Linked DNA regions of Pelodiscus sinensis. The main gene of each other region encodes a partner of the protein of the gene in region 3 in a complex. Links are inferred from orthologs where the notes say so. Each region holds a gene or a part of one and is shown on either strand. Other genes may lie near its edges. The genes, in order: S100B, FGFR1, FGF2 and FGFR2.

Region 1 (7,490 bases), on a different chromosome or scaffold from region 3:
GCAGAGCTAATGTGCATTGTCCCACAGAGCTGCCCACAGGAGGTAGGAGTGGAAATGCTGCTGTGGGGGGAAGCAAAACCCCAGATCCCCACCTTCCATGAGAAGGAAGGGGAGACCCCAGGTGCATGAATGGGCTCTAGGGAACAGGTGTGCCCTGAGGCAGAACTCCAACAAGTGTTTCTCCAGCACTGCAGGCTTTTTACATGGTTGCTTGTGAAACTTTCCCAGAAATGGGACAGTAATTCTTCCCTCATCCACCGGCCTTTTCTATGTAACAAAAGCTTCTCCCTGCCCTGTACACCCGATGGAGCTTTTGTGCTTAGGTCACTGGGCTTTGGATCACAGTCCCAGTGAGGAAGGAAATGTGAGTCTTTCCAATAATTTCCATGGGCTTTGGATCAGGCCAGCCCAGCAGCAATGAGGGTCTTTAATATTCTAGTTGCTTCACTTGGGAGTCGGCTGAGAAATCCAAGTTTGTTTCCCTACTTTGGTAAGGTCCAGGATCAGCTCAGCAGTGAAAAGGGGAGGAACACACCAAGGAATTAGTGTCGGAGGCAGCTTTCTGCCCTAGAAAGTGTTTTTCCGTGCAGCTGTGTTTGCAAGCGAGCCCTGGGGACTGAAGCAAGTGGCACCTGCTCCCCCAAAGATCTCCAGATCTTGTTTCTGTTCTCCCACAGCAGAATAGACCTGCCAGTCACTACCCCATTGTCAGGCAGAGCCTGGTGCGCATATGCTTATAAGGGACAAAGAAATAAATTGGCTTTCTCATCCGCAGCAGCTATAAAAGGGCCTCTTTGTATTTCCCTCAAGAAGAGGGTGGGGTGCAAATGGAGGAGTGAAATATTTGAGACAGCACAATTTTATGCGTTGCTCCCTGGTCCTTTAACCATTTGGGGCCAGATACTCTTCAGTACAGTCTAAATTCAGTATTGCTGAAAGTATTGTAAGGGTTGGGGAATAGCTGAGTGTGCAGCATGCACAGCCAAGGGCAGAGCTGAAGGTGTTCATTTCTGTGCCACGCAAATCCTGAGCACCCCAAACTTGAGATCACTTGAAAACATTGGCTGTGGATTTTAAAATAGCCCTGTCCCTTTAAGAAGCTATTAGGTATGTAACTCTGAGAGCGATGAAGTCATGGTGCTGGCCAAGGCGAGTGTAGCAGTCTGGCAGTACGCAGCGTTTCTGCGCACACCCCCGGCCCTTTCCGTCTGGTCTGTCCTTGAGCTGGAATTGCCAATTGCGCAGCAATGTTCATTAGTGAGATGGGTCTGCTCCAGCCCCCACTGAGACCATTAGAGCTGGGCCAGGCCTGGAAATCCAACCCAAGGATTGATTCAAGCTGTCAGAGCATTACCCCGTGGTAACAGCGACGCCTCCCGACAAATGTGCTTTCAGGGCCAGAACACCTTCAGCTCTGCGCTTGGCTGTGCATGCTGCACACTCAGGACTGACAAGCGCAGCCCAGTTGCCAGCATCCAAACTAGCCACCCTTCAGAGCCTCTTCTTTCTGCGGGATAATCCTGGGCACCACTTTTCCTGAGCCAGGCTGCCCGCGCTCCGAGATGGAACTTCTCAGCCAAGCGCTGCTGTCGTGCTTCTTGGAAGGGCAATGGGGCAGAAGACCAGTGAGTTGCGTAAGGGGAGACAGCTAATACTGCTGCCCACTTTCAGTTGAGATCTCTGTACTGGTTGGCTTATTGGCAGTGGTGACCCAAACTAATCCCATGTGATCCTGAAGGCCTTGTCTACATTGCTGCTTTCCTCACTCCCATTAGCTTAGCTCAGAGCCACAGCAGGAGTGCTAGTGTAGACAAGCCATGCCTTACACCACTATGCCATCCAGCCCAGCTCGGAGCCCTTGGAATAATGGGCCCCCAGCACTAGAGATGTGAATTAATTGTGAAGGTGCCAGGAACCATCTGCAACTGAGCATCCCCCACTGGCTCAGCTGCAAACAGCCCTCACATCAGCTGCTGGGAAACCCCTTCCCTCTTCCCTTCTGAGGAAGACTTAGCTTACCTGAAGGCTACATCTAGATCCCTTATTTTAAGAGAGATAAGGGATCTTTCAGAAAAGGCTTTATTTTCCGAAAGATCCGCGTCTAGACTGGTGCTTTTTTCCGGCAAAGCTCCGTGCAGAAAAAGGGATGCAATCTCGACGTAGCCGAAAGGTCTACACGAGGGCAACCAATATAATGGAAGAAAGGACAAAGCAGGAAACCTGTTTAGGACTTTAAACCTTGTGCATTGATGCATGGCCTGGCCTGTGGAAGAGAGAAAGTATCTACTAAGATTGACTAGCTATGACCATGGAAAATATATAGTTATGTTTTTCACTGCTGGCTGCTCTTTCCTTCACTTGCATCCTAGACTTAAGTGAATATAAATATCCTTGAAAAATCAGGCAGTGGCTTCCTGCCAAATGCTGTTGGCTATCAAAATCCCACTTACTAAAAGCATGCAGATATCCTGGCCAGAGCTTCCAGATCATAGATGGCACTACATTTTACAATTCCATTACTGGATACAAGATCAATTGGTGGACCAGACTGCGTTATCTCAGCTGCTATTAAAAGAATGCCTAGACTTATTGGCTGCGTCTAGACTGGCATGATTTTGCAGAAATGCTTTTAACGGAAAAGTTTTTCCGTTAAAAGTATTTCCACAAAAGAGCGTCTAGATTGGCACGGATGCTTTTGCGCAAAAGCATCCATGCCCAGTATAGACGCGCTTTTGTGCAAGAAAGCTCCGATGGCCATTTTAGCCATCGGGCTTTCTTGCGCAAAAAACTAAGATGCTTGTGTACACTGGCCCTCTTGCACAAGTATTCTTGTGCAAGAGGGCTTATCCCTGAGCAGGAGTGTCAAAGTATTTGCGCAAGAAGCACTGAATTCTTACATTAGAATGTCAGTGCTCTTGCGCAAATTCTTGTGACCAGTGTAGACAGGTGGCAAATTTTTGCGCAAAAGCAAGTGCTTTTGCACAAAATCTTGCCAGTCTAGACACACCCATTGGCTGTGTCTAGACTGGCCGCTTGAATTTCCGCAAGAACACTGACTTCCTACTGTCTGAAATCAGTGCTTCTTGCGGAAATACTATGCCGCTCCCATTCGGGAAAAAGTCCTTTTGCGCAAAAGGGCCAGTATAGACAGCTCAGATTTGTTTTGCGCAAAAAAGCCCCAATCGCGAAAATGGCAGTCGGGGCTTTTTTGCGCAAAAGCGTGTCTAGATTGGCACAGCCGCTTTTCTGCAAAAAGTGCTTTTGCGGAAAAGCGTCTATGCCAATCTCGATGCTCTTTTCCACAAATGCTTTTAACGGAAAACTTTTCCGTTAAAAGCATTTGCAGAAAATCATGCCAGTCTAGACGTAGCCGTTAACTACTCTCCCCAAATCAGGTTCCCCATCCCACATGGCAGATATTAGTCTCATGGCTGACTGTGCTTTGGAAGATGCTCCGGTCCTACAGGAATGAGGGCAGGATACGAACCTTTATAAAATAGATTAAAATCTGTATCTGGGGACAGAACAGATTTTTTTACCCTGTGTCTCATCTATTTAAACTGTAAACTTGTCAGGGCCTGTCTCTGACAATGTACCTGGGGCGAGTAGAATGGGGTCTTGAGCTCAGATTAAATTCTCTTAGACTCAGGCCAGTGCGGCCACATGAGAACTTGGACAGCTCTGGATTTAATTGTCACTCTGGAATTAGGCATGAACTCCAGGTCTCTGCTCTGGGGAACGCAGGAATTCTCTAAGGGCCATCTAGTCTGGTATTCCCTCTGTCAGGGGTAGGGGAGGTTACCTATTCAAATGGAGGGGGAACTCACCCACTTTCACCTCGCCGCTGTTTCCAATTAACCACACGGTGACATGTCCCCCTGCCAAATGTTTGACTGTGTCATCTTTGCCCCCTGCATTTCTCATTTGTCTTCCCTTCCCTTGCAGAATAGCGGAGCGGCTGCGAACATCCCTCTGGAACACATTCGTGAGCCATCCCTCTGAAATACGCTTGCTCCTTTCCTGTCCCCGTGCCACTTCTCTCGCCCGCTTCCCTTCATTTCCTCACACACACACAAACCATTTTTGCTTCTCTGCCCCCTCTCCTGGCTTCTCCTTCGGAATGGCCTGCTTCGCTCCCCAGGACAGATTCTGACAGCAGAGAGGGCAACAGCTTCCCTGTTTACGCACAGGCCCCGAGCTAGCAAGGGACCTGCCCTCTGAGCCGGCCTGGCCATAGGATGAAATGGGGCAGCTGCCTGTAGGCCCCACGCTTTTGGGGACCCCTCAGTGCCCCCCCCCAGCTGTCCTATGGTCGGAAGGGACCTGGGGATCACGGGGCGTGGTGCAGGTGGCAGCAGGGGTCGCCGCCCCCCCCCATGCACGCGTCACCACACTGGCAGCAGGCGCCTGCCCCATGCTGCCCTGTCCTGGCCCTCTGTGCTCTGTGTCTCCTTGGCACTGAGGGGGGTGGGACACAAGCCGGGGAGCCAAGCCGCTTGCCCCCGGCCAAAGCCTCTCTCTTACCAGCCCCCGGTCTGCCACACCATTAGCACAGGGCCCAGCTACGCTGAGTGGGGGTCGAGACACCGTGTCCCCCGCAACTGCCAGGAGAATGGGGGTGGAAAGCAAATGAGCTGGGGCTGCACAGGGCAGGGGACTGTCACAGGATGGGGGGCGCGATAGGAAAGGGACTTGGCCCCTCCCCCACAACTAATTAGCTGCCTCCTGTGGTGGTGTGTCAGGTACCCCCCAGTCCTGCACCCCGGTCCGCAGCAAGATGTGACTCCGCCAGCCAGTAGAACAGGAGGGTTTATTGCTTCTCCAGGACACAGGACAGACATGATGTGGCTACAGGAGTTGGGGCCAGGCAGCCTCAGTCCCCTTGGGGTAGGGGTCCAGCCCCCCCCAGCCCCCAGTACTCAGCTTAGTCTCCGCTCTTCCTGTTTTCCCAGCCGAGCCACACCCTTCCTTTGTTCAGACCCCGTCCCTGGACAGGTGAGACCCGGTTGGGCCACGGACTACGTGACGTGCGATTCCTCAGGGCGACCCCCCGCTGGGCAGTGCTACAGACACAGGCCAGGAAGGGTCACTCACAGCCCACAGCGACCAGAGACAGCCCAACCAGAGTGGGCCCAGGGCCACCAGAGTCAACAGCCCCCCACTACGTCACAGCTCCCATGAGGTGGGTTTGACAGCAGGGGCCGGGGGAGGGTGGTAGCTGCAGGGCACCATGGCCTCTGTAAAAAGCCAGCGGCAGCGCCAACAGCTAAAGCAAGACTCCTACAGGGAGTGGGGTGGGGCTGGAATGGGGGCCCCCAGTCCCCTAGTGAGTACCTGGCTGGGGACACCTGTTGGATGAGGGCAGGACTGTGCGGGGCAGTGGGGGGAGGCACCAGGGCCTGTTGCATGGATTTGATTTGTGTTGGGCAGAGTTGGAAAAAACTGAGGTAAGAGCCTGAAATCCTGCTGTGGGGAGCTTTACAGAGGCAGCAGCACAGGGTGGGGTGGGGAGTAAATCTCAGAGGGTTAGCAGCGTGAGTCTGTAGCTGTGCAAACAATGAAGTCCAGAGTTATTTGGGCATAAGTTTTTAAGGGTCAAAACCATTCCTCAGATGAATGGAGGGGTTTTACATGTGACTTTTCTTACTCCATTGCACTGATTAAGAATGCAATCAAGTCCCTGTAAAATTACGCAAATATTGATTCAGCAGCACTGAGAGAGCAGCATCGCAGACTTTCAGGATCAATACTACCTTGATTTAGACTCAGCTCATTTTCAAGATGCAGCTTTGCTAGGCACAAAAAGCCAACTGAAGCCCGTGAAAATCAGCTTTGTTCTGCATGTAATCTGTGTTTGTCAACTTCCACTCCCCTTTGCATATCCAGCAATAGCAAGAAGGGGAAGGTCATGTGTGGGGTTTGTGCTTGGTTGCTGGTATTTCCCTGATGTCCCACCCAAGCTGCCATGTTTACAGTACAACACCCACTTTGGTGCATTGCAGCAAGTTTGCTCTGGCAGGTGTCATTCTCCAGTGGCATCCACGCGATAGGCACTCTTACAAGAAACAGCCCTGCGCTGGAATGACTATTTAGAGGGACTTTTGCATAGCACCACGTGTTATACAAAACATTATTTGATGGTTGGTTATTGCAAACACAGCAACTGCCAAGTGACTCAGCAAGCTGGCCTGAAGCCCGCTGGGGTTCGACCTCAGATATCCGCACAAAGACAAATTGGATAATGCGCCTGTTCTGCATTCCGTGGGCGTCTGTGCATATGCAGACTAGTTGTCCACTGTCATATCCCAGTATTAGGGTTGCCAGTTGTCCAGTATTCACCCGGACAGTCCAGTATTTTCACCTCTTGTCCGGTAAAGAAAATTCAGAAAATACCAGACCCCCAAGATGTCCGGTATTTTCTGATTTTTTTTCCTGGCCAGGCAGTGAAAATTCCGGTGTGACGTAGTGTTGGTATCTTGCTGGTTGCTAGGCTTGGGCTCTGGGTGACCTCCGCTGGCAGCTGTTTGTAGCACAGCCCAGCAGGACAGGGGATGAGTCATTATGCAAGGGGCTCCCAACCTGTCCGACCAGTTACCTCCCAGGGAGAGAAACGAAGGAAGGAGGGGAGGCCAGCCCCTGGCTGGGGGGCAGGGCTGGAAGGGATGTTTTTAGTTTCTGTCTGGTATCATGGAGGAAGCAGCCTAAACAACAGGCTGGGATCTAGGGACCCAGTCTCCCCCATCTCAAGGGGGGCTGAGGCATCCTAGGCCTGCCCTGTATCCGGATTACATCTTTGCTGTGCTGTATCCTAGAGAATCAATAAACTCCCTCTAGTCTACTGGCTGGTGGAGTCTGTTCGTGCCACTACGGGGGTGCAGGAGGCGGGGGATCCCCGACGCACCGCCACAGCCGGGCATCTGGCAACCCTACAAACACTCAGCACCCAGCCTCTCCCAGCCCCATGTTTACCTGGTTTCGCAAGACTGCCGGCACAAAATGGCTGCCAGCAAAAAGACCAAGGGGAAGCAATGATTCCCCTGGGTCTTAGTGCTCAACCCCTCCCCTGTTCCTAGCTCTGCACTCACTCTTAAAGGACAAGCTGTCTTAATGCTGTTTTATTTTATATATATAGAGAGAGAGATAGAGAGAGAGATTAATAAGTCTTGGACTCCTTTTTTTTCCTACCCCTCTTTTTGTTTTCCTTCAACAGAATTTTTTCCTGGTGTTTTTTTTTGGGGGTGGGGGGGAAGGGAGAGGAGCAAGTGTTTGGTATTTTTGTTTCAACCATCTGGCAACCCTACCCAGTATGCGTCTCTGGGTGGTGAGTACTAGCACTAAGCAGGGGATTCAGTTCTTTTTCTGAAGAAGCAGAAGATAGTTTTAGCAGCTGTGTTTGAATAAAAAAAGCTGTTGCCCACTCCAGGCTTTGCATGAGGTTCTATAGGGTCCCCCTTCTGACTCTGGGCCATCGAGCACCTGTGCCTCTGAAC
Region 2 (7,428 bases), on a different chromosome or scaffold from region 3:
GTTTACAAGACAGTCCAGGTAACCATTAAGGCTAGAAACTTACTTAGAAACCCCCCAAAGCAGATAGTCCCATGTGTGCCGGGCTGGCAGAAAACCATCCCCTATCAGGAACGGCGCTCCTTGGCAGCATTCGCTCCTTGGCTTTTTCCACAATTATTCACTCAGCTCCAGAAACGTTCCAGCGTCTAACAAGGTGCATTTCAAAAATGCCAAGCCGTTTGTCACAGCAAAGGCATGCACAGCCCTTTCGCCTGGGGCCAGTTCTCTGCAGGAAGGGCCCATCTCCACCAGGCACTTTTACACCCACACGGCCACTCGGGTGCATGGGGCTCACCCCTCAATTTGCACCTGCGTCTCTCCACCAGGGCTCTTTGTACACACACCCCACACTCTTGTGGACACAAACTCCTGGAGGGGCTGGAATCCCTTGTAGCGTGGCGGTGCTGAGCGGAGCAGAGCGCCTGTGCGTACAGAAACCGTTGCAAGCCAGGCTGCCGCAGCTAGCTCCAGCAGGTAGACTTCATTTGGTACATTTTTAGCAGCACATTTTAAAATGAAACACCGCCCATTTGGAGCAGACAGCCTCGCAGCAGCACTATCAAGGGAACCTCCAGGAATTCCTTGCAGCTTTCTTTCAAGAGACTCACTGTGCTTGGTTGTCCACCCTTGGGCACTTACGGCCCATTAAATAAGGCCAGGCCTCAGGAAAGCAAGTCCCCACAAGCTCAGCCCCCAAGTGCAGCTGCAGGCAGCCTGAACGAGGAGTTTACTGCTAGCCGTTTCTCACTCTCGGCCAAGGCTAAAGAGAGGGCCAGATTTTGCTTCCTGGAGCTCAGTGGTGTTGCAGGAGGGAGGACAGAGCACCACTGACATGTTTTAGACTTGCTAACAAACCCCCTAACATATGGGACAGTATTTACAGAAGGATCCCCTTAACGAGACCCTCCAGCTGGAGCCTCCCCATACGACCAATACAGGCTCCAAAAAACTTCCGCTGCAGCAGGGAGAAATATGTAAATAAGATATTAGTCGGCATGAGAAACCCAGGCAGGCACCTGCATCCCAGCACACTGCATGACTGCACAAATCAGGACCCATCTGGGATTCCAAACCATTAGCAGGAACTGGGAAACCGTAACTCCAGGCATCTGAAGAAGTGGGCGGTGCCCACGAAAGCTCATGATCCCAGCTCCATGTTTTGTTAGTCTAGAAAGCGCTACCAGACCATTTGTTGTTTTTTTCTGTAACAGACTAACTCTGCTACCCCCTGCAGCCGGGAAACCACACGGCCATGTTATGGGGATGCTTTTCTATCAGCCCCAAATCTAGAAGAGGAAAGCGAGGAGGGGGAGCTTTCGGCTAGCTCGTCTCAGATGAGCCAGGTATTAGGAACCCCCCATTCCTCGGACCTTCAGCTCTGCAGAGTGCATCTCCCGAGGGAGAGCGCAAGGAAACGCCGAGTGCGTCTCGAGAAAGCGCTATTCCATTACAGAGACAAAATCAACAGGCTGGAAACCCGAGGAATGTTTCCAGCGCAGAAGAGATTTCCCTCCCCCGCTAAACTTTGTACCTTAAGAAGCGTTTTTGGCTCAGGAAGCCCGCGGCTGTGAACGCGCAGGCCTCGTTTTATGGGTTAAGGCAGCGCTCGTAGGGTCTCCGGTGTTGGGCTTCCGAGAGGAAACAGCAAATCGCAGCGAGACGAACCCTGACACGGCCCCTCCGCACTGCTCACATCCCAGCGTTTCCATGGGAGAAGGGGAAAAGCAACGCCCGACGGTGAGGCAGCGTCCTCGGGGGAGCAGCCCATCCAAGCCAGGCCGAGGGGAACTGGTGGCAAGGCTCCGACTCTGCCCACGCTATCCCGGGAGTGTGCTAGTCAGCCAGGAATGTCCTAGCCCCTGGCCCTAGGCTCCCTGAATCAGCCAGGCCCGCCCAGCCCGGCGCAATAATCAATACGATCAACAGTCACCAGGTGCCAACTAGGCAGAAAGTTCACACAAGGTCAAGGAGCCCCCCCCCCCGAAACCAGCCAGCCGCCTGCACCTCAGGGCTCCTGCCCAGCCCCACAGCCGGGACTCCCAAGCCACCTTCCCCCAGGGCCTGGCGGAAACCCCCCTGCTGCGCCTCCAGTGCCAAGGGAGAACTGAAAAGGGTGGGAAATGCCCAGTCCTGCCCACGCCCTCCGGGGAGCCGGCTCGGGCAGGGCAGGGCAGGCAGGCTCCAGGACCCGGGCCTTTGGCCTGACCCCCGTGGCCTTAGGGCCCCCTCCCCAGGCCTGACTGCAGCGGGCGGCTCCCCGTGGGGAGGGCTAAGCGCTGGCGGCCGGGCCAGACCAGGCATCGCACGGGGGGTCCTGCCAGCTCACATCCGCCCTCGGCCGGGCTGGGGCGCCCTGCGCGGCACGGCGGGGCTGGAGGAGGGGGCCGGACACACCGGCGCGGGGCCCGATCCCGCAGGCGGCGGTGGGACGCGACTGTTCCCCGCATCGGGCCCCGCGCCAGGGGCGCTGCGAGCTCTGCCCAGCCCCGCGCCGGACGCCCCGGGCACCTGGCCCCAGCCTCGGCCGGGGAAGCTGCGGCTGCTTTCCCGGGGCCCAGGCAGGCGGGGGCGGGAGCCAGGGGTCGCATTCCAGCCTCCCCCGCCCCCCGGACACTGAACCTCCCGCGGTGAGGGGGCGGGCCGGGCTCCGGCTGCCCAGGGTGCTCCCCGCAGCATTTCACGCCCCCCCTCCAGGCTCACTCCGCTGCCCCGCCCCCCGGAGGCGCCCCCCCCCAAAGTTTGGGGAAAGTTTTCTCGCAGCCGCGATGGCGCCTCCCGGGCCAGGGGGCGGGTGGGAGGCCTCGTGGGGCGCCCCCCGCCCCGGGTACTCACCGCTTCGGCGGGGTCCAGTGGCGGAGCCGCCGCCCCAGGCGGGGCCGGTCCCGCTCGGGGCCCCCGGAGCTGCCGCGAAGCCGCGATCCCCGGCGGCTGGGAACAAAAGGCGCCGAGCCGGGGCCCAGGCGCGCAGCCCTGCCGAGCTGCCCCGGCTCACCGCCCCGGCTCCATCGCGCCGCGGGGCCCCGAGCGCGGGAGATCCGGGCAGGGGCTCGGGCCCCGGGGGAGACACGAGGGGCCCCGACCCCCCGGGAGCTGGGAGCCCAGGGGCCCGGGCGCGCTGCGGTGGCTGCGGGGCGCGCTGCGGGTCGGCTCCGTGCGCTTGGCTGCTGCCCGGTCCCCAGTGCGCGCTGCGGAGCAGGGCTGCGTCCCTCCCTCCTGCCCGCCCAGCCCCTCCTCCGCCCCCCGCCGCCGCCTGCCTTCTCCCCGGCTCCTCCTCCTCCGCTGCCCGCCAGCGACCTGCCCGTCCCGTGGGGGAAGGACTCTCTCGCCGCGCCCGGCCCCGGCTTCTCGGCACAGAGCGGAGCTGGGAGGCTGCTCCGAGCGCTGGCGGGATGGGCGCGCTCCGAAATGCAGCTGCATGGAGCTTGGGGCTGCGGGGCTCCAAGCGGGAAAGTCTCCCCCCCCCCGCCCGCAGAGCTTTGCCTTGGCCCCCCCGGTTTGCAATGTATTTGCCCACAAAACAAACCCACCACCGAGGGGGGGGGTTCTGACCCTGGTGATTTGTGAGGGTTATGGCCGCTCTCAGAGTCCCCAGGATCCGGGCCCGTTTGATTAGGTTAGACAGGTTGGACCTCCCTGGTCCGGCCCGGGTCTGACGGGGATTTCCTTGGACCAGGGTTGGTTCCCTCCCGCTGCTGGCCTCCCAGCCTGCTGCCCCTCCCGGCTGCTGGCAGGGGGATCTCCAGATGCCACTGGTGGAAATCCCTTGCTGTGGGGATCTGAGCTGGGAATCCCCAGTTGCTGGCCCTGCTGGGGACCCCCAGGGAGGGCTGGAGCTCTCTGGTGCAGCAATATCTGAGTCCTGCGGGACTACGGATGTGGCTGAACCGGAGAGTCCCAGACTTGAGAGACGGAACCTGTAGTCCGATAGGAATTAAGGCCAGTGTTTGCCCCGCCGAGTTCACAGTCTAAGGCCCCATCTTGCAATGGACTGGAGGGAGGCAGCCAGGGCTCGGCCAGCGTGGGCTGCCAGACACACAGTCACGGACGTGCAACAAATAAACGAACCCAGCAACAGCCATGCAGCGTGTCGGAAGAGCACAGTGTTGCCAACTCTTGCCGCATGATAATCTCCTGATACTTGTGTGATTGTTAAAGCCCAGCTGCTATGCTCAAGAGATCAATCTCAGATTTCTTTCTTTCTGTCTATTTTAGGTAAGTTTTCTAGCCCTTGTGGTTGGAGGATAAAGTTTGAAAAAGGCTCAGAGAAGGCCAAACGGATTTTCCTTTTGCAGTCTCTGGATTTCCAAGCCAGTTCATGATTATTTAGGCCTTGACGCATGATTTTTGAGCCCTGACGGATGATACTGACGGATACCCTCCAACACACACGCTCCCTACCCCTCTGGTTGTTAATTCGTGCAAACTGCCTGAAGCTTTCCGGAGTGAAATAACAAACAGTAACAAAAGGAGAGAGAAATCCGAGGCACAGGCTCAGGGAAAATCGGATTTTATTGTGGCTACTTTGTTTTCCAGTAGAAAGTCCCTCTGAATTAATATCCCGACCCTGTCATGGACTAGCTGAGTTCCTCTTTCCTACGTTTGATACTTCCAGCTCACAAACATCTTGGTTTGATTATGTGCCGCCTAAGAAAGACCAGGAGTGATCAGACCCTTATGCGGTGAGGGCACTGCATGGATCTGACCACAGGATCAGGCCCGAAATCCTCAAGTTTCAGAGTTTGCTTTCATGTGCAAGAGCTGCCTGATGGCTTCCCGTCAGATTTTTTTTGCCTTTTGCTCTTGATAGACAAAAACATGCCAAACTCACTGCTATTATCTGGGGGTTCTGTTGGCTTGAACAATCTATTCGAGGTTTGTCCTCTTGGCATATTTGTATCCATCAAAAGCTATAGGCAAATGTTTTTCTTAGTTACTGCATAGATAGGCAAATGTAGTCCCCTAGTGCATACGTGGCCTGGCTTGTGGACGTGATGAGCACCCACAGTGCCCTCTGAAAATCCAACCCATATCTTCCCGCTCTGATGGGCTTTGACAGGATTTGTCAGACCCAAAGCATCTGGACCACAAACCACAGAGCAATCCAAAACCAGCAGACAGCTGACTTCACTTCCCCCATCTGTCTCAGGTGAACCCTGCTGCGAGGGCCAGCCGAGAAACAGGGTGCAAGTTCTAAGCTGGGAACCCTTTGGGAACATCTCTGCAGGCAAAGGCAGCAATCCAACTTGGGGATTTCTGGAGGCCTCTGACACCAGCTCGGCCAGGAGGTAGCTGCAGGGGGAGTGGAATGCTCCGTCTATTGTCATGCAAATTAATCTGCCCCAAACCCTACTTGGCTTCAAAATTCCTAGGTCCAGTAGCAAGCAGCTTCTGGCGGGGTGCTCCCAGGCGAATGCAGGTTTGATTTAAGGGGCCTAGCGAGGGAGGGAGTCTGGGTGAGTCTCCAGAGAGGTCCGGCCCGGAATGAAGACATCTCCTGGCTCACTGTGGAAGACAATGTGTAAATGATTAAGTTATGAAGTGAAACAAGACAGGCTGAATTAGATCCATCAGTCACCACGGCGATATCTGAACCAAATGCCAGGCATCCGTCTTTACAACGAGAGCAGCCCCTTACCAGCACAGGCAGTGGCTCCGGTTGGGATGCCAGTGGGTTTTGCCAGGGTGATCGATAGATATTGGTGGATGCGAGGGAAGCGACCTTTCCTCTAGGACTCTCCTATCCCTGCGGGGTGTTGCTACGGATCACGTCCGTTCAGGGCATGGGGTTGTGCAGCTCTCGCTAGCTCAGTCATCAGATATGGGCTGGAGGCAGGAATCAAGGTGCAAAGTTCTCTGCTCCATGTTCTGCAGGAGAACAGATTGGATGGTCACCGTGATCTCCAGGCGTTACATTCGGTGGCTCCATGACTAGGTTATGGTGGGGAGCTGTGACATACCGATCTCCGATCTCCCTGGAGCTGTGGTTCGGCCTCGCCGGCTTGCCGCCTTTCCCAGAGCACCCCGCTACCTCTCTGCTCAGGGTTCCTCGCTGGTCTCAGGGCCACACACCCAGGCGCTGAGCTGGGTCAAAACACCGGTGGGCAGGAGCCGTTTGTTGTTTGTTTTGCTTTCAAAGCTGCATTTTTTCTACCCTGATTTTGTCTGTTTCCGTTTGGCGGCAGACGGGCTCTTTACAGCCAAGGGAGGAGAGTGCCCGGAGCTTGGCTCTGCTACCAGGATCCCAAGGGACGAGAGCGCCAGAGCTCAGTTCGGTGCGTCCACACTGCGGGAAGGAAGCCCAGGCATGGAATCTCAGGTTCTGGGACCCTCCCCCGCACTGGACTGCAGAACAGCCAAACAGCCCCCTTGCAATTTGAGCCCACCGAGTCAGCTGCCGCAGGCCATGCCTGGGTGTTTTCCTGCCAGCCCTCCCCCAGCCTCTGTCCCTTCTGGCAGGAGCCAGGTTCAAGAGCTCTCCCGGGGCTGCTGACAAGGGCCATGGCGGAGCTGGAGTGCCGGGAAAACTCCTCTTGGTCTCCGGGGCCTGCCCACCCCGGGGCCTGCTCTGGAGAGAGGCAGGCAGGAGCGCAGGCCCCCTCCCCCGGTCGGATGCTCTGACTTGCATTTGACTCTTCTTGCAGCAGCAGCCCCAGTGGCCTGCCCAGTCCCAGGTCCTTTGTCCCGTCCTCACGCCCGGACATGGCTCTGCCTGCTTTGCTCTCAGCCTTGTCCCCTCCCTGCCAGGGGAGGCAGTGGGGGAGGGCTCGCACCTCCCGGCTATTGTTCCTCCAGAGGGGTTTCTGCCTGCCTGGATTAACAAGGCAGCAGCCTGAGGGGGGCTGGTGGGGAAATTCGGGGGGTTCAGTTACAGGCTTTGGGAACGTGCCGACAACGGGAACAAGAGTCCGACCGCCTGGCACCTGGTGGAGTGGAGTCCCTCACCCAGGGTGCGTCTGCACCGCGCTGCTGCTGGAAACAGGCGAGGCCACTGGAGCTACACACACGACGTCTCCTACTTCGACGGTAGCTCAAAATAGCTTCTTTTGAAATCTGGCGCTGGCTGCGCAGCTCTCTGCCGACCGCCCGCGGCTCCGAAGCGCCGCTCAGAAGCTGCAGAATGGCTACCCGGGGATCCCTGCGGTGTCCGGCACTAGCGCTGCAGCGCCCACGTAGCCCCACAGCCCCCAGCTCAAAAGACAGGAGTTGCACTGAGCTGTTACCGTCTGGCGGGCTGGGGGGACGTGAGCTGGGCTCCCTGGGGACAGGGGAGCAGCTGTCCTGATTTCGTAGGGGCAGTCCTGGTGTTTGGGGCTTTGTCTCCTGCCTCCTCCGCCCCCGCCCCATGGCTGTCTGGGCACCTGACCCGGGGAGCGCGAGCTCAGTCCTGTG
Region 3 (7,641 bases):
TGGGAGAGATATCTCTTCCCCTAGAACAATGTAGTAAGATGAGGGCCCGAAACAAACATTGACCTAAACAGCAATGGTAAAGACTTTGCTAATATAAAACAGAATTAAGCTGTGAGCATGAGGCAGGCCCTGCTCACAGAAGCTGGCAAGAACAGGGCTGATGTTACGGAAACACACATACCTGCTAAGCACAGGCTGTAAGCACATTCCAGAGGTCATGAAGGACACCTCATTGAGAAACATCTTGGTACCAACACACACCAAAGATAACAAGAACATACAAAACCAGATTTAGGACAGGGTCTAAACTGACAGCATGATAGATAGTGACAGAACTATGTACAAGGTAAGGGGTGGATCTAATGTCAGAAGACGGCAACCTGATATGTCAGGAGTGAAGTGTAATTTGTTTGCACCTGTGTCTAAAAGTGTACACTCAAAGAATTGTTGTCTAGTCAAGGGGGTAATATTAGATCAATAGTTTTGAGTGAGGTATTCCATTGTCACAAGCAATGTTCCCACTAAGCTTTTCCATCCATGTGTAGAATAAATTTTATGTGCACCAACACATGTGCAGATGTGCACCAGCAATAGAAATACATGCTGATGGCTCTAGGCATTGCGGGCGCTCTGCTAATCAGCTAAGAAGCATCTGTATCTCTCCTGAGTGTCCACACAAGTGCTCAGCTTACAGGCACTGGTCATGAGGTACATATGAGTAGTGGCTCTGGGGCAAGTCTATTCGTTGACAACTATTACTGTACTTTGCTTGGCAATAAACCTGGCCTGGTGCCTTCGATCCTTATCTGATTTTGTGATCTTTGGGGGCTCTCTCTAATAGACAGGAGAAACACACACACACACACACACACACACAAGTTAGAATATAAGAACAGCCATACTAGGTCGGACCAAAGGTCCATCTAGCCCGGTATCCTGTCTGCCGAGACTGGCCAATACCAGATCCCCTAGAAGGAGGGATCACAACAGGTAATCCTCCCGTGATCCCTCTCCTGTCACCCACCTCCAGAGAAACAGAAGCTAGGGACACCATTCCTACCCATCCTAACAGCCATTGATGGATCTAACCTCCATGAATCTATCTAGCTCTTTTTTGAGCCCTGTTGAAGTCGTAGTCTTCACCACATCCTCTGGCAAGGAGTTCCATAGGTTGACTGAGCTGAGTGAAGAAAAACTTCCTTTTGTTTTTGTTAAACCTGCTACCTATTAATCAGGGTTTAGCACTGACTGAGTAGAAAACCTGCTAGGAACCCATCAGTAATGCTTGACTGACAACAAATACTGTCTAGGAGTTGGTTCAAAGTATTGTACACTTGTTTTTACTGTCTTTTGATCCAAGTTTATATTAGGGATGTGAAAGTGTAACCATTTACATCAGTTAATGTGCAGGGTTACACACAGACCCTCACCCATGCTGTTGCCTCTATATGATTTTCAGTGGTTACACGATTACATAATTAGATGCATTAACATCCCTAGTTTATACATGAAATTGAAAACCTTTTACAAACAGGTGCCCCACTCTTTTGGTTGAGGAAGAGAGCTTATGTGCTTTAATAGAGCCATAACCGTTAGTAAAGCAGACAAAGTATTTACCATCTACACTGAGATCATCTCCTGTTAGGAACCGTAAACTTCACTCTCAATGAACTAGGCAAGTGGCGTTCTATCCATTTTGGAGACAGGGGAAAAGTCGGGTATAGGCAAGAACGTTTTCCTATGCTTGAATAGGATGGGGAGCATTCTAGTTAAACTCCTGGCTACAGTTTGCAGTTGAGGCACCCAGGCAGCTAACCAGCCTTAAAGCGTCACAATCCTGAATGAAGCTCCTCTGCACTGACTGCGAAGTCATGGTTATGACTGTCCCCAATCCTGATCACACACCGGGAGATTTTTCTCATGTGAAGAAGCCCAGAAAGGCTGAGTGATTAGCCCCCGATCGCACAGCAGGTGGGGGCCCAAAGCAGGAGAGCACTCAGGCCCTCGACCCCACCCACCGATGGCTCGAAGGTAACAGGCACAGGTTGGATGCCTGGGGCGCTGTCCTGCCCCCACTAAGCGGGACGCGAGCGCTTGCCATTGTTTTCAAGGGAGCCAGGAGTGCCCCCTCCGGGAGGAGTTGGGGCTCGGCGGGGCCTGCCCCGAAGCCGTGCCCAGGTGGGAGGGGAAGAGGCTGGTACTCACTGTGCGGGTCGCTCTTCTCTCGGACTCCGTCCACTCTGCCGTCCGGGTTGATGCGGAGGAAGAAGCCCCCGTTTTTGCAGTACAGTCGCTTGGGGTCCTTGAAGTGCCCCGGCGGGAAGGTGCCGCTGCCCCCGTCGTCGGGCAGCGTGGTGATGCTCCCCGCCGCCATCCGCCCCGCCGCGGGGTCCCGGGCCGGGGAGACCCCCTGGTGCCCGGCCCCCCTGCCGCGGCCGCCCAGCCTCGCCCCCTGCCGGCTTCGCCCTTCGCCGCGCCCGCCCAGCCTCGCCCCTGCCGGTGGGGGCCCGGCCCCTCCTCTCCGAGCCCGACGCCCCGGCCCTGCCGCCTCCGCGCGGGAAGCGGCTCCCGGCTGCCCGGCGGGGCTGAGGGTGCTGCGCAACGCCCGGGCGCCGCGAGCCCGTGGGCCGGCCAAGGTGCGGGAACGAGCGTCGCCCGGCTGTCGCGGCGGGCCAGAGGCAAGCGCCGCTCTCAGCCACTTGTTTGTGCGCCTCGGCTTCCCGCTGCTGCTCCGCCCCCTGCCCGGCGCTGGGGGCTCGCTGGGCCGCTCCGCTGCCTGGCCGGGGGGACTGGGAGCCTCCTGCTGCGCCTGCTGGAGAAACTGGCAGCCGAGCCGGAGGAGCGGTTCCCTCCCCATCCACCCTGCCCGGCCCTGCCTCCCCTGGCCGCACAGCCAGCCTCCTGTCTGCCTCCCCGCCCGCTCCCTCGCCTGGAGTGCGCAGGGAAAGTCCCCTTCCCGACCCTCTGCCGGCTGCAGGGCAACAGCATCCGCGCGCTTTCACAAACTGGTCGTAGACAGAGCGAGTCTGGGGCAGCTGGCGCCGCAGAAAGGAGCCAGCTGGGGCGGTGTCACTTTTTAGGCACTATACCAACCCTTTTTTCATTTGCTCTTCTGGAGGGGGGTTTGTAGACGACGGTTAAGGGGGGGTATTAAAGCTAGTGGGGGCGTGAGGAAGATCTTCATTTCACACCCTAGGACCTGCACTTCGGGGCAGGAATAAATTGAATCGTCTCTGCTCCAGTGCCAGGAAAACAGCAACTCCCACCTCCCAGTCTAAATTGCCTAGTAGGGATGTTAAATTTCAAACAATCAGCTAAACCAGTACTAAAGCAAAAGTCTATCAACTACTGGATTAGTAGATAAGGGGAGGGGAGTGCTTGTTATCCTAGTGATAGAAATGTAGCCGTGTTAGTCGGGGGTAGTTGAAGCAAAATGCAGGACAATGTAGCACTTTAAAGACTAACAAGATGGTTTATTAGATGATGAGCTTTCGTGGGCCAGACCCACTTCCTCAGATAAAGCTCATCATCTAATAAACCATCTTGTTAGTCTTTAAAGTGCTACATTGTCCTGCATTCTGTTATCCTAGCTGCCTCTTGTTCTTACTAGATTTAAAAGGCAAAAGAGCAGCCCCTTTCCTTCCACCGCCTGTTGACAGGCCTGTCAGTAACACACAAATGGATTATTTTTAAATCAAATTTTAAAGCAAGGCCCTCTAGACTCTCACATGGTAAATTAAAAAATTGACAGTATATACCTGGACTTGGAAAAATGTTTGTAAAATGGATTTGTTATCACTTGAATGGCTCTTTCACAGGTTCAATGTTCTGCTAATAGGTCAGGCAGGCTGTGTTATTTTTTAGTTAACTAGATCCTCTCCGGAAGAAGCAGAGCCACATAACAGGGATAGGAAGAGGCAGGTGGATCCACATTAAGAGCCAGGCTCCGTCTACCTACATTGTAGCCTTCTTCTGGAAAAGTTTATGCAAATGAAGCTTGTGTAGAATAGCGCCATGCTTCATTTCCATATTTAGTTAGCTGTTTTTGCGCAAGAGGCTTTTGCGCAAAAAGGAGCTGTGTAGACAGCTCCTTTTTGCGCAGAACCCCCCTCTTGCGCAAGCCGTTCTTCATTTTTTCCAGGGAAAAGGCTCCTGCGCAAGAGGGGGTTTTTGGACAGAAGGGTTTTTTGCACAGAAAGGAGCTAGGTAGACAGCTCCTTTCTGCGCAAAAGCCTATTGCGCAAAAAGGGCTGCTCGTTAATTATGCAAATGAAGCATGGCAATATTCCACTCCATGCTTCATTTGCATAAGCTTTTCTGGAAGAAGGCTACAGTGTAGACGTAGCCCACTGTTGCCCCAGATTTTCAAGTGTCCTACACAACTCTACAGTCTAGGTATGGGTAAAGATGACTCTGCTGAAAGACACAATATTTCCTCTTCACTGGTGTGTGCATATCCAAGAATAAAAAGGCCAAATATTTCTCCTTTTGGGAATCAAGAAAGAGCAAAAATGTATACAAGATTTACAAGTAATAGGAATCTTTCCTTTGTGCAAAGCTGAATGATGAAAACTGTATGGCGGAAGAAAAGGAACAGACAAGTAAATCTTAGAGGAGCATTAGTTATGACTTATTGTGTTAGTAGAAGTGGCCCAACCTTAGAGTGTTTGCTAAATCCTCTCCTCCACTATTTCTGAAGAGCACAGTAAACAGTCAGAAAACACAGAATAAAACACTCTTCCTGTTATCAGTCTGCACCAGCAGGAAATATTGCCAGAAGATGACCCACAATTTGTTCCACTTGATCCACAGATCTGGGCTGCCAGAAGGGATCCTCATAACACAATATTCCTCTCTGTCAGGACATTATAAACCAAGTTCATACCTCAAGGAAAAAACATTTGATAGCTATGCAAACATATATTCGTTACCTTTCCAGGAAAATGAGGGCTAAGGGACAATTGTTCTACCCCAATTCAACAAATAAGGCAGTCAGACAAATGGTTGACTACTTTCAACAAAAATACTATATTTATGTTTAAAAAGTGATTTTCTCCCACCCCAGCAATGCCAAACTACAAGCCTCTCCATCACTGCTACTCAATACCAAACAATGTCCAGTTTGATATTGTATTAAAATCTATTGCAAATATAGCTGCCTCTTGACAGTTATATAATTCTAGTAAGACGAATAGCCAAATCACTTACTTTAATGTGCACATAAATCAGTGTCATGCATTGCATTAGCTTTTCGTTTTAGACAAGGACCACCCCAAACCAAGCATCTAGAATTGGTGGTACAATTCCCATTGCTCCTCCATATTGGATTTATCTGTCAATGTGATAGAAGTAATTCTTTCTGTATTATCTAACTATACAACAATTGCCATGTGCTTGTATTTTAAATATTGCATGTATAAACATAACATCTACAATATTTGATTTTATAAATATCATAAGTACAACTGTTCAAGCCTGTGGGGCTGTGGCCAAGTCTTGTTGGTTTCTTGGAGAGGAGCGCAAAACATTTTCTCTATGTAATTTATACAACTGTCAACTTCTGTCCAAAGGCCAGAGTCTGGAGACAGCCAAAATGTGATTTTTCCCTAATACTGTCCAGTCAATGACCTCATGCCTGACCTGGAATAGTCACCCTACAAGGGTGTAAGAAGTTTCATCTTCTTGATTGCTTGGACCACCTAGTTCTTGTTCTCTTCCTAAGCAGAAACTATGTGCTATTACACAAGAGCTAGTATTAAGTTAATAGTTAAGATAAAATCGAAGTGAACAATTTGTTACTACAGCTGTGAACAAGAGGGTGTGTAGGAAGAAGTTGTCCACTCTGGCACTCTTAAACAGCCCTTTGATTACGGAACATGATCCTTTCAGTAAAGATCTCTGAAAAAGCTAACCTGGACATTGTTATTTTCATGACAATCCATTGCTAATTATAAAGATTTACTTATCTCACATGTATTGTGCAGCAAGGAACAAAAATCTATGAACCTTGGTTCCTTTTCCTTACACAAATTTGGAATTCCATATAAAGTTCCCATCACTAAGAGATAACAGCAGACTATCTAATTTGGTTGGTTTCTCCTTCCCTGATGAGACTTTAGAACACTTTTTCTTCCTATATCAACTCAACTAAGTCACTATTGTGACAAAAGTACATGTCACTGAAGCCAATGACGTCAGGGCATTCAATTACAGAAATAATTAATTAAACTAGGAAAAACAAAGCCTTATCAACAAGATGGCGGACAGGTACGAGGGAGTACCTTTCCTTTTTGAACCAGCCCAATTAACACATTCCAATAGCACATTTGTCTTGGCCTGGCGCATGGGGTGATAGAAAGTTCACTTTGGCCTACGTGCAAAGACAAAAAGCTGAAATGGTTTCTGTTATACAAGATGGCTTCTAGCTAAACATAAAATAGCTTCTACAGAGCTGAATTCGGGGACAATCCCCGGAATTTGCCCCTTTAGAGTATTACAGTTAGGCACAAAAAACATTAAGGTCACAAAACCCAGGCATTCAAAAGCTGTAAAATACCAGTGTTCCTGTTGCCTGGGTATAAACTTAATTTGGCCCCTTGTGTATTTGCATTATGACCACATATTTTTCTGTATTGTCTCCCTGCCTCTTTTTGTGCTCATGCTAGATGGTGCTTAAAGAGCGGCTATTCAATATTTTGTGTTCTCTCTGTTCAGTACATAACCCTTAGCCTTGTATACTGTGCACTACTCAAACCCTGCTCTAAGGACAGAAATTCAGTTGCCTTACATGTTTTACCCTGGTCTTCACAAAGACTAATGAATTTATTTTCACAAACTTCCCTGCAAGATGAAAGAGTATTTGCTCCAATTTACAGAGTGGGAATGGCGGCACAGAGAAATTATAGTCAAAAGCATCCATTGATCTTGGATGCCCAATTTGGTGGTCCTAGTACCAGAGTTTTCAGAGTACAAAGCATTCTGTAGTAACTTACATGCTCAAAGCACAGCCCCCATTGACTTTCAGCCATGAGCGCTCAGCATTTTGGTGCTGAAGACAGACGGTCGGGCAGGGTCGGCAACCTTTTCAAATCGAAGAGCCAAACTACATCAAAATTCAGAACAAGTGGTCGACAAGAGCTGTATAAGAATGCCCATTTGCAGGACTGAAATATACAACTTAATATTATTGATAATCAACATGGTGATTAATAATAGCATAAATGCAACTACTCAGACTTTAATAGGACTTCTGCTGCAGTATCTTTTCACACATTTCTTGAAGTTCACATCATGATGGGTCAAATCCAGCTTCGTGCATGCATTCAGGGTGTCGTCTGTCAATCTCATGGCCAGGGGCTGGAGATGTAGGGGTGTAGGAGTCTGGGTTGCTGTGTATGAGGGGCTCAGGGCAGGGACTGGGTTATGTGGAAAGTACACGAGGCAGGACAGTGTGTTGGGGAGGAGGGGAGAGGACAGTATGAGGAGCGGGGGCTGGATTACCTTACCTGGCTGAGCTGTTGCACTCAGGCAGCAGCGGCTGGACGAGAGGCGGGGCCAGGATTGCTGCAGCTGGATCATGGCCTCCCCTCCTATCTGTGTCACAGCAGAGGGGACAGTGCGCCACCAGCTCTTCCTGCGGCC
Region 4 (7,409 bases), on a different chromosome or scaffold from region 3:
TTTAAGTGAGTGGAAAGTGAGCAGAATGAAGTTCTGGAGTATATTACACTATGCAATTTCATCTATGGTATTCCTTGGCAAACTACCACCTGGCAAGATACCATAAAGGCACCCAACTTTACATGCAAAAGATGGAACCAAAGCATTGCAAAAACCCTCTGGAAAAGCTTGTATTGAATGTCTTCTAAGCTAAGGAAATTTAATTTCATAGCAAGTTTCTTGGGGGAAATAGGTAGGGAACGAAGATCGTCATAGATGACAATTTGGAAGTGTCATGATTATGAGAGAGGGCTAGCAGCCGGGGGACTAATGGGTTAACCACACTTAGCCAGGTGGAGTGGCCAATAGAAAAGTAGGTAGGACTTTCAACTGGGACAAAGGAATTTTGTTTTTTCCTCCTTTGCCTCTGGGGGGTTTGCTCTGCAGCTACTGAGAGAGACAAGATTGTCTCTCTCTCCCTCCAAGAAAAGACCCTTTCTTCACTTTCTGTTAGTAGGGTAAAGTTTAGATAAATCCATTAGGTTTTATTGTTTTCTCTTTAGGGATGAGGTCTGATGTCTGTGCACACTTCAAGAAATGGTTGGTTTTTCTCTGTAACTAAGTTCTAAGCCCATGGAGTTTCTCCATGAGTATATCATGTTACTTTTCCATCTAGGCATTAAGCTTTCAACAGGAATATTGTTGTGATGATAAATGTTCTCTTTTTATAGAATCATAGAATACTAGGACTGATAGGGACCTCTAGGGGTCATCAAGTCCAGTCCCCTGCCCTCATGGCAGGACCCAGTACTGTCTAGACCATCCCTGATAGACATTTATCTAACCTACTCTTAAATATCTCCAGAGATGGAGATTCCACAACCTCCCTGGGCAATTTATTCCAGTGTTTGACTACCCTGATAGTTAGGAACATTTTTCTAATGTCCAACCTGAACCTCCCTTGCTGCAGTTTAAGCCCATTGCTTCTTGTTCTATCCTCAGAGGCTAAGATGAACACGTTTTCTTCCTCCTCCTTATGACACCCTTTTAGATACCTGAAAACGGCTATCATGTCCCCCTCAATCTTCTCTTTTCTAAAATAAACAAACCCAATTTTTTCAGCCTTCCTTCATAGGTCATGTTCTCTAGACCTTTAATCATTCTTGTTGCTCTTCTCTGGACCCTCTCCAATTTCTCCATATCTTTCTTGAAATGCGGTGCCCAGAACTGGACACAATACTTCAAGGCCTAACTAGTGCAGAGTAGAGCAGAAGAATGACTTCTCGTGCCTTGCTCACAACACACCTGTTAATGCATCCCAGAATCATGTTTCCTTTTTTTGCAACAGCATCACACTGCTGACTCATATGCAACTTGTGGTCCAAGCTGAATTATTAACCTGGAATTGGTTAATCGTGTGCCCTGATTTTTACTTTAGGGGTGAGATTTCCCAAATGATCTTTCCCTTGATTGCTTTATTTATATTTGGGTGGTGGCAGCGGAAGTTTTATTCCCAAAATTTAGGGTTTTAAGATTTTGGGGGGAAGTTTTGTACCAAAGCCTGGTAGATAAGGTTTTGGGGTACACTTGCAGGCCCCCACTTCTGCATTTATCATGCCAGAGTGGGGAAGGAGCCATGACAGGAACACTTATTTTATTTTTCATCTCAAATACTAATATTTTTACATTTACTATACGAAGGGGGATTCATTAAACCAGAGGGTCTCAAACTTCATTAGACACACCCCCTCTTCTGACAATAAAAATTTCTACATGACCCAGGAGGAGAGACCAAAGTCTGAGTCTTCCTGAGTACCAGTGCCCTGGGGTGCGGGGCCCTGCAATCTGAGTCCCAATACACAGAACTGAAACCCTCAAACATTGGCCTTTGGGCCTTGGTTATGAGCGACGAAGCACTATGGCAGAGGATAATTCAGTATAACATATAAAACATTATTTCATAGATTTTCTTAGGTTCATAAGACTGGCCCCAGGTCTTTTGACAGGTCAACTAAGTCCAGTCCCCGCACTCACAACAGGACTATTCTAGACACTCACTACAGCAATGGAGAGGTGGACTCACTACAGCAATGGGAGAACTTCTCCTGAGAGGCAGTAGCTAAGTCAACAGAAGAATTCTTCCATTTATCTAGCACTGTCTACACAGGAGGTTAGGTTGTATTTTTTCATCCTCCTGAGAGACATAGCTATGTCAATAGTGATAGAGATGTAGCCGTGTTAGTCTGGTGTAGCTGAAACAAAATACAGGACTATGTAGCACTTTAAAGACTAACAAGATGGTTTATTAGATGATAATCATCTAATAAACCATCTTGTCAGTCTTTAAAGTGCTACATAGTCCTGTATTTTGTTATAGCTATGTCAATGAATGATTCAAGTATTGATCAGCCCTTATTCCCATTTGACAGACCAGGAAACAGACACCAGAGTGGTAACTTTTCTGAGGCCATCCAGCAAACTGGTGACAGTGTCAGGACTAGAACATGGTAGTTCCTTGCTCCCAGTACTGTGTTCAAACTAGCCTTTGTTCTAAGATCCTTCCCCCTGGAATTTACCCTGAAAACCACTTTCACGGAACTAACAAACCTATATATTCCCTGCGTCCCCCACTGTTCAGCAAATAAAACAAAATACAATATAAATAAATAAATATTAAATCAAAACATCCAGTCAAAACACAAATGCCACAATAGACTCAGCACAGCATGTACATGCAAAACTGCTGTTTTCACCAGAAGCTTAGGGTATAGAATTATGTATTATATGCAGTTAGGAATCTGCAGGAAAATGTGCTATGAAGATCCTTTTCCATGACTGTCCATGAACTACAATTCACAGAAGGTTTATGGTGTTGGACAAATACAACGTGAAAATAAACTCTACGATACCTGTTTGCTTTCTTCCATTGAATAGGCAAAGGCTAAAAGAATGCCAAACACTCCGTCAGGGAAAGCTTTGCTTCAATAGGTGTGTCTAGGTGTCTTGAACATGTTGCTGCTTGACAGGTCTCCCTTTTTGTGTGGGTGGTGTTCACATAAAAAGACAGACATGAAACTCAGAAATGATATCACAATGCAAAGTTAACTCATGGCATGCCTTAGGGCTGCACAGCACCAAGTAATACTCAGCAAAACAATGCTTGTCATTTCTTTCCTTTGGAAGTCATAGCATCAAATTTACAACAAAGTTCATTTAGCCATTAACCTGTGAAAAGCCCTCATTCTCGGGTGCATGGGGAGAAGTGAAAAATATTATTGGGATGGTTTTGGAAGGGTCAGACCTCCGGGTTTCTGAGAAGAAAGAGATAGTGAATTTTGAGGGCTAAGTCTAGATTAAAACAAGGCATTTGCTTCATTTCCAGCCATCCATGTAGATGTACTAGTTCAAAATCTTCATTCAGGCAAGGGGAGATAAGATTCATACCCAAAGAGCTCATTTCATGTTGAAGCCCTAATAAGCACAAATTGCACCTTTCCTTGTGTGTACTGAGGCAGTGGTTTTAAACTACAGGTTGCAGCTCAGGATTGAGTAGCAGAATGTCTGGCACTGGATCTCGTTGATGCAGTGTGGTCAGTGAGGGTACTAACGCACCCTTCCCACCTGTCCTGGCTCTGCAGACTGCACTGCCCCCCAGAAGTGGCCAACAGCAGGCCTGGCTCCTAGGTGAGAATGGGGGGCAAAAGAGTGCACAGGGCTTTGTGCATTGCTTCTGCCCTGAGCACTAGCTCCATGATCCCAATGGTTAGAACCTGCTACTGGCTGCTTCTGGGGTGCAACATAGTCTGTGGTGCCAGGACAGGCAGGAAACCTACTTGTACCGCTGCAGCACTGACTGGGGGCCACTCGAGATAAGCTCTTCCTGGCCTAGCCCTGCTGCACTCCCAAAACTGAAGCTCTCATCATCAGCCCACACTTTAGTCAAATTATGTTGGGTCACAGGCATCAATTTTCATCAGCTGGATCATGAGAAAAAAGTCTGAAACCCACCGTGCTAGAGATCACAAACTACTGATTGCTGGAACTGGGAATTAGCCCCAGCATGACCAGCACATTAGTGCTGTCATCCTTGTGTTTTAAACAAAGGAAAGGGGGACAAGGTAGTAAGCACACCTGTTGCCTGGAAGCTGCCTTTCGTTTCCATGCTCTGGTCTTTGTTAGCAAACAGTATAATAAGTAAATATGTTTTGGTTTTGTCTGAGGCAGCTACAACCTCAAGATTTCCACATCTTCTGGTCCATGTTATTTTCAATTTTAAAAAGCTGTATTTCTTGGCCTGGTATCACAGAGAGTGAAGACAGACATTTGTGGGGAAAATGAGACTGAATTCATGAAACCAAATGGCTGTGGGACTGGTAGAGATACCAGGTGAGATTACGTGTAAGTGGTGCAGCACAGAACTCACTGCTTCTGGGGAAAGGAGTGCAAATGGCTTTAAGCCATCGTGGACCCTCCTGTTCCTGGGCTGCTCCAGGGGAAAGAGGCCTCTCAAGTACTTTAGCAGCCCTCCAGGTCTGTGCTGTGGGCTGTAGAACTACCAAAATCTCAACAGCATTGTGTACCACTATTTTTAGGGGCTCTCTCAAGCAGCATTAGCACATGTATGTCTACCCAGGGAATGACACCTCCCAGCTGCTGCATAGACATGCCACTTCAACGCAGTCCAGGTCAACTATCAAACAACGTTACATTCCAAGTCATTACACCATTAAACAAGATTGTGGTCTCATTGCAGTTTCTAGTGGACAGATATCAAGATCGTAGGATGGCAAAATTAGGACAAATTGACACCTCTAATGGTCCTTTCTGTGGAATGCAAGGAGGGAATGAATAGGTATGGAAACTGAACTGCTACACTGTGCTATAGGATGGTTCTTCAGTCCCAGGTGAAACACATTTCTGCAGACACACAGGCAGTTTAACATGCAGCTGCATGTGCTGTACCTGTTCCACAAATAAACAGAGGTTTTTAGTTGTCAGACTGCCAGTCCAGCACTTTACATGATCTCTCTACTATAAATTTTAATGATACATCTAAAGGATTCCACTTTATTTAATAAGCAATATCTTTAACAGTTAGTTGTGCTTGATTTCTTTAAAAAAAACTAGGACAGCGAGAGTCAAAACAAAATTTGATCCAAAATGTATATTCCTTTATGGTGGGAAAGAACTATTTTTTAACTCTCAGTGGCTGACAGGAAGCACTTTCCTCTGCAGACAGGACAGTACTGCGGCTATCCAAGAGGCTACGGTGAGATCATCACTGTCTTTCACCACCAGTAATGTGGCAGTGCTCATTAGGTGAACTGAGTGTCTATCCTTTGTCCCAACACAGTACTTAATTAGGCACATGCTTAACTTTAAATATGGGAGTATCTCATTGGTTGCCACAACTCACATGGTTTAAATATAAACACAAAAAATGCAAAAAAAAAATCTACTTGTGACATTTCAGGATGAAAAGGCAAGGTAAGAAATGTTTCTAGTTCCCTAGAGTTATATAACAATTAAAGAAAAGGAAAAGCACCACTTTAAGGAAAGTAAAAGTAAAACAGTGAAAAATAAAAAAAATAAACCCAGGGACCCAAGAACTTAAACAAGGGTCCAGTTGAACACAAAATCCTGATAAGGACTCACTCATGTCTAAGCAAATGAATAAATATTCTTACCCATTCTCTCTCCTTATCTGGTAAGATGTTTCTAACAAAACCTGTTTTCAGAATAAAGATATTGGTGATGTTTTTATTGCCATCATAGTCCATCCAAGATGATGCATCTGGTTTGAGAGTCACAGAAATATTCTTGTTAAAAATGCTGCCAAAAAACCTAAATGAAAACAGCACACCCATTTTGCAGCATTATCAGGATTTTTTTCCAGGGGGTGTTTATATGGACTAAGATTCATTTAACAAGGCAAAAGTTGGAGCTTTCACATACTACATTATGTCTCTGAAGGTTCTCCTGACGAGGGTTAAGTCTTTATACCACTTCCAAGTGAAGCAGCCAAGAAAAAGAAGAAACAAATGCTGCTGCTGCTGCTACTACTACTGAGTACAGAGGCCTCCTTTTCAAGAAATGTGATTTATGGAATGAAGTTCCTGGCATGTCTGCCACAGGGTGTCACAATGTGTGTCTAAAATCCAAGGCTGAAATATGATCCTTATTCCTTCCAAAACACATTGTGGCTTCTAGCAAGTTCTTTTGAAAATTATAAGCAATCTGTTTCTCAGGAGGCTGTATTCTTTATGCCTCTTACATTATGAAGGGTGTATTCATTATCCCTTTTCTTTTTCAGACCTACTTAGAATATTTCTGGGGAATCAGAAGAGGTTTCTTTCTAATTTCATGTGAATTTAGTGGTTGTGAAAGCTGCTTTATAAAACCCTAGACACTTGTTCTTTTTTCTTTCTTGTTAACCAAAGATCTGATACAATTTGGACAGCAGCAGAGCAAATCACTCCACACTGCCATATCTACCTCTCGATACAGACCAAAACACCTCTCCTTGTCAAAGGGTAGCCTCTCAGCGGCCCATTCGTGTGCAGTAGATACTTGCCCACTGGGGAACTGGAGGGAGATCATCAAAGTCAGTTCACATAAGTTATCAAATGGTGACTAATAACTCAAAATCACTTCTGACCTTGAGCTGAATTTGAACTGTTCATTTAAAGAGCTTCAACACCTAATGCTCAATCTCTCTATTCTCTTTCATTTGGGGCAAAAGCTTTATATTAACCTTTTCCTAAATTACATTATGTATCTGCAATATATTGTGTGTTACATACTTGTCTCTCACTCTGCTACTTGCTGTGAAGCACTGATTCTTTCAGAAACTCAGATCTAAGAACCAGTGAAGTTAAACATCATCATTGCTATTTTCTTTGTGGAGCTGTAACACCAGTATCCCCTTCTGGCTCAGGGCTCTATTATACCTGATTCTCTACAAGCCATAGGACAGTCCTTGCCCTGTAGGGCTTTCATCCTTTCTTGGCTATTTTTTGTGGACAACATAACAGCAGTGTCCCCTGGATGTAGGACTGAAAGCCAATAGGGGTAGTAGCCTTATGAATTTGTTCAGGGAAGGTGTTGTGGAAGGAAATACAGAGACATTAATGGGACAAGAATAAATTTTTTCAAGTTGCTATGTGCTTCCACTATATTAGTATTAAAAAAAGCAGAATATGTGAGCGATAGTGTTTAAATTATAGAACCTGTATTGCCTTAGGCTGTCAGCATTCTCAGGCAACTCATTAATGAACTCGTATAAAAATTGCTTAAAAAAAAGAAACATACATAATTTTAGACAAACCAAGGAAAAGCTGAACATGTGCTTTCCATTGGCTTTAGTGGCTTTTTTGAGCAGGCCCCATTTGAACCACAAAGCATTTTTAAACCTCTTGCTATTCATCATT

Evidence for each region.
Region 1: the proteins of FGF2 (region 3) and S100B are in contact, whole or in part, in an NMR structure (PDB 2M49), measured with the Homo sapiens proteins. The link is inferred for Pelodiscus sinensis from reciprocal best matches to the Homo sapiens genes FGF2 and S100B. Residues at the interface, in NP_001997.5 of Homo sapiens: Arg164, Tyr166, Cys167, Lys168, Asn169, Gly170, Gly171, Phe173, Arg186, Lys188, Asn243, Asn244, Tyr245, Arg262, Lys267, Gly275, Gln276, Lys277, Ala278, Leu282, Met284; in NP_006263.1 of Homo sapiens: Glu47, Ile48, Lys49, Glu50, Gln51, Glu52, Asp55, Lys56, Cys85, Phe88, Phe89, Glu90, His91, Glu92.
Region 2: the proteins of FGF2 (region 3) and FGFR1 are in contact, whole or in part, in a crystal structure (PDB 1CVS), measured with the Homo sapiens proteins. The link is inferred for Pelodiscus sinensis from reciprocal best matches to the Homo sapiens genes FGF2 and FGFR1. Residues at the interface, in NP_001997.5 of Homo sapiens: His158, Phe159, Lys160, Lys163, Tyr166, Gly170, Phe173, Arg186, Lys188, Leu197, Gln198, Ala199, Glu200, Glu201, Arg202, Gly203, Val205, Ser206, Tyr215, Val230, Glu238, Leu240, Asn243, Asn244, Tyr245, Asn246, Leu282, Pro283, Met284; in NP_075598.2 of Homo sapiens: Glu162, Lys163, Leu165, His166, Ala167, Val168, Pro169, Ala170, Asp246, Val248, Arg250, Ser251, Pro252, Val279, Ser281, Asp282, Pro283, Gln284, Pro285, His286, Ile287, Ala314, Gly315, Val316, Thr319, Asp320, Glu324, Gly344, Asn345, Ser346.
Region 4: the proteins of FGF2 (region 3) and FGFR2 are in contact, whole or in part, in a crystal structure (PDB 1II4), measured with the Homo sapiens proteins. The link is inferred for Pelodiscus sinensis from reciprocal best matches to the Homo sapiens genes FGF2 and FGFR2. Residues at the interface, in NP_001997.5 of Homo sapiens: Phe154, Pro155, Pro156, Gly157, His158, Phe159, Lys160, Lys163, Tyr166, Lys168, Gly170, Gly171, Phe173, Arg186, Leu197, Gln198, Ala199, Glu200, Glu201, Arg202, Gly203, Val205, Ser206, Tyr215, Val230, Phe235, Glu238, Leu240, Asn243, Asn244; in NP_000132.3 of Homo sapiens: Glu163, Lys164, Leu166, His167, Ala168, Val169, Pro170, Ala171, Asn173, Asp247, Val249, Glu250, Arg251, Pro253, Ile257, Lys279, Val280, Tyr281, Ser282, Asp283, Ala284, Gln285, Pro286, His287, Ile288, Ala315, Gly316, Val317, Thr319, Thr320.

Annotation. Positions count from the first base shown.
Region 1 is NC_134717.1:65,124,384-65,131,873, reverse strand, and holds the start of S100B (protein S100-B), read left to right. Parts: upstream 1-4,474; 5' UTR 4,475-5,182; intron 5,183-7,490. UniProt on the Homo sapiens protein: Small zinc- and- and calcium-binding protein that is highly expressed in astrocytes and constitutes one of the most abundant soluble proteins in brain.
Region 2 is NC_134738.1:15,608,405-15,615,832, forward strand, and holds the start of FGFR1 (fibroblast growth factor receptor 1), read right to left. Parts: upstream 3,005-7,428; 5' UTR 2,872-3,004; intron 1-2,871. UniProt on the Homo sapiens protein: Tyrosine-protein kinase that acts as a cell-surface receptor for fibroblast growth factors and plays an essential role in the regulation of embryonic development, cell proliferation, differentiation and migration.
Region 3 is NC_134715.1:37,761,975-37,769,615, reverse strand, and holds the start of FGF2 (fibroblast growth factor 2), read right to left. Parts: upstream 3,015-7,641; 5' UTR 2,858-3,014; coding exon 2,206-2,857; intron 2,032-2,205; exon of another isoform or gene 1,894-2,031; intron 1-1,893. UniProt on the Homo sapiens protein: Acts as a ligand for FGFR1, FGFR2, FGFR3 and FGFR4. Also acts as an integrin ligand which is required for FGF2 signaling. Binds to integrin ITGAV:ITGB3.
Region 4 is NC_134718.1:57,071,112-57,078,520, reverse strand, and holds the start of FGFR2 (fibroblast growth factor receptor 2), read right to left. Parts: upstream 3,012-7,409; 5' UTR 2,889-3,011; intron 1-2,888. UniProt on the Homo sapiens protein: Tyrosine-protein kinase that acts as a cell-surface receptor for fibroblast growth factors and plays an essential role in the regulation of cell proliferation, differentiation, migration and apoptosis, and in the regulation of embryonic development.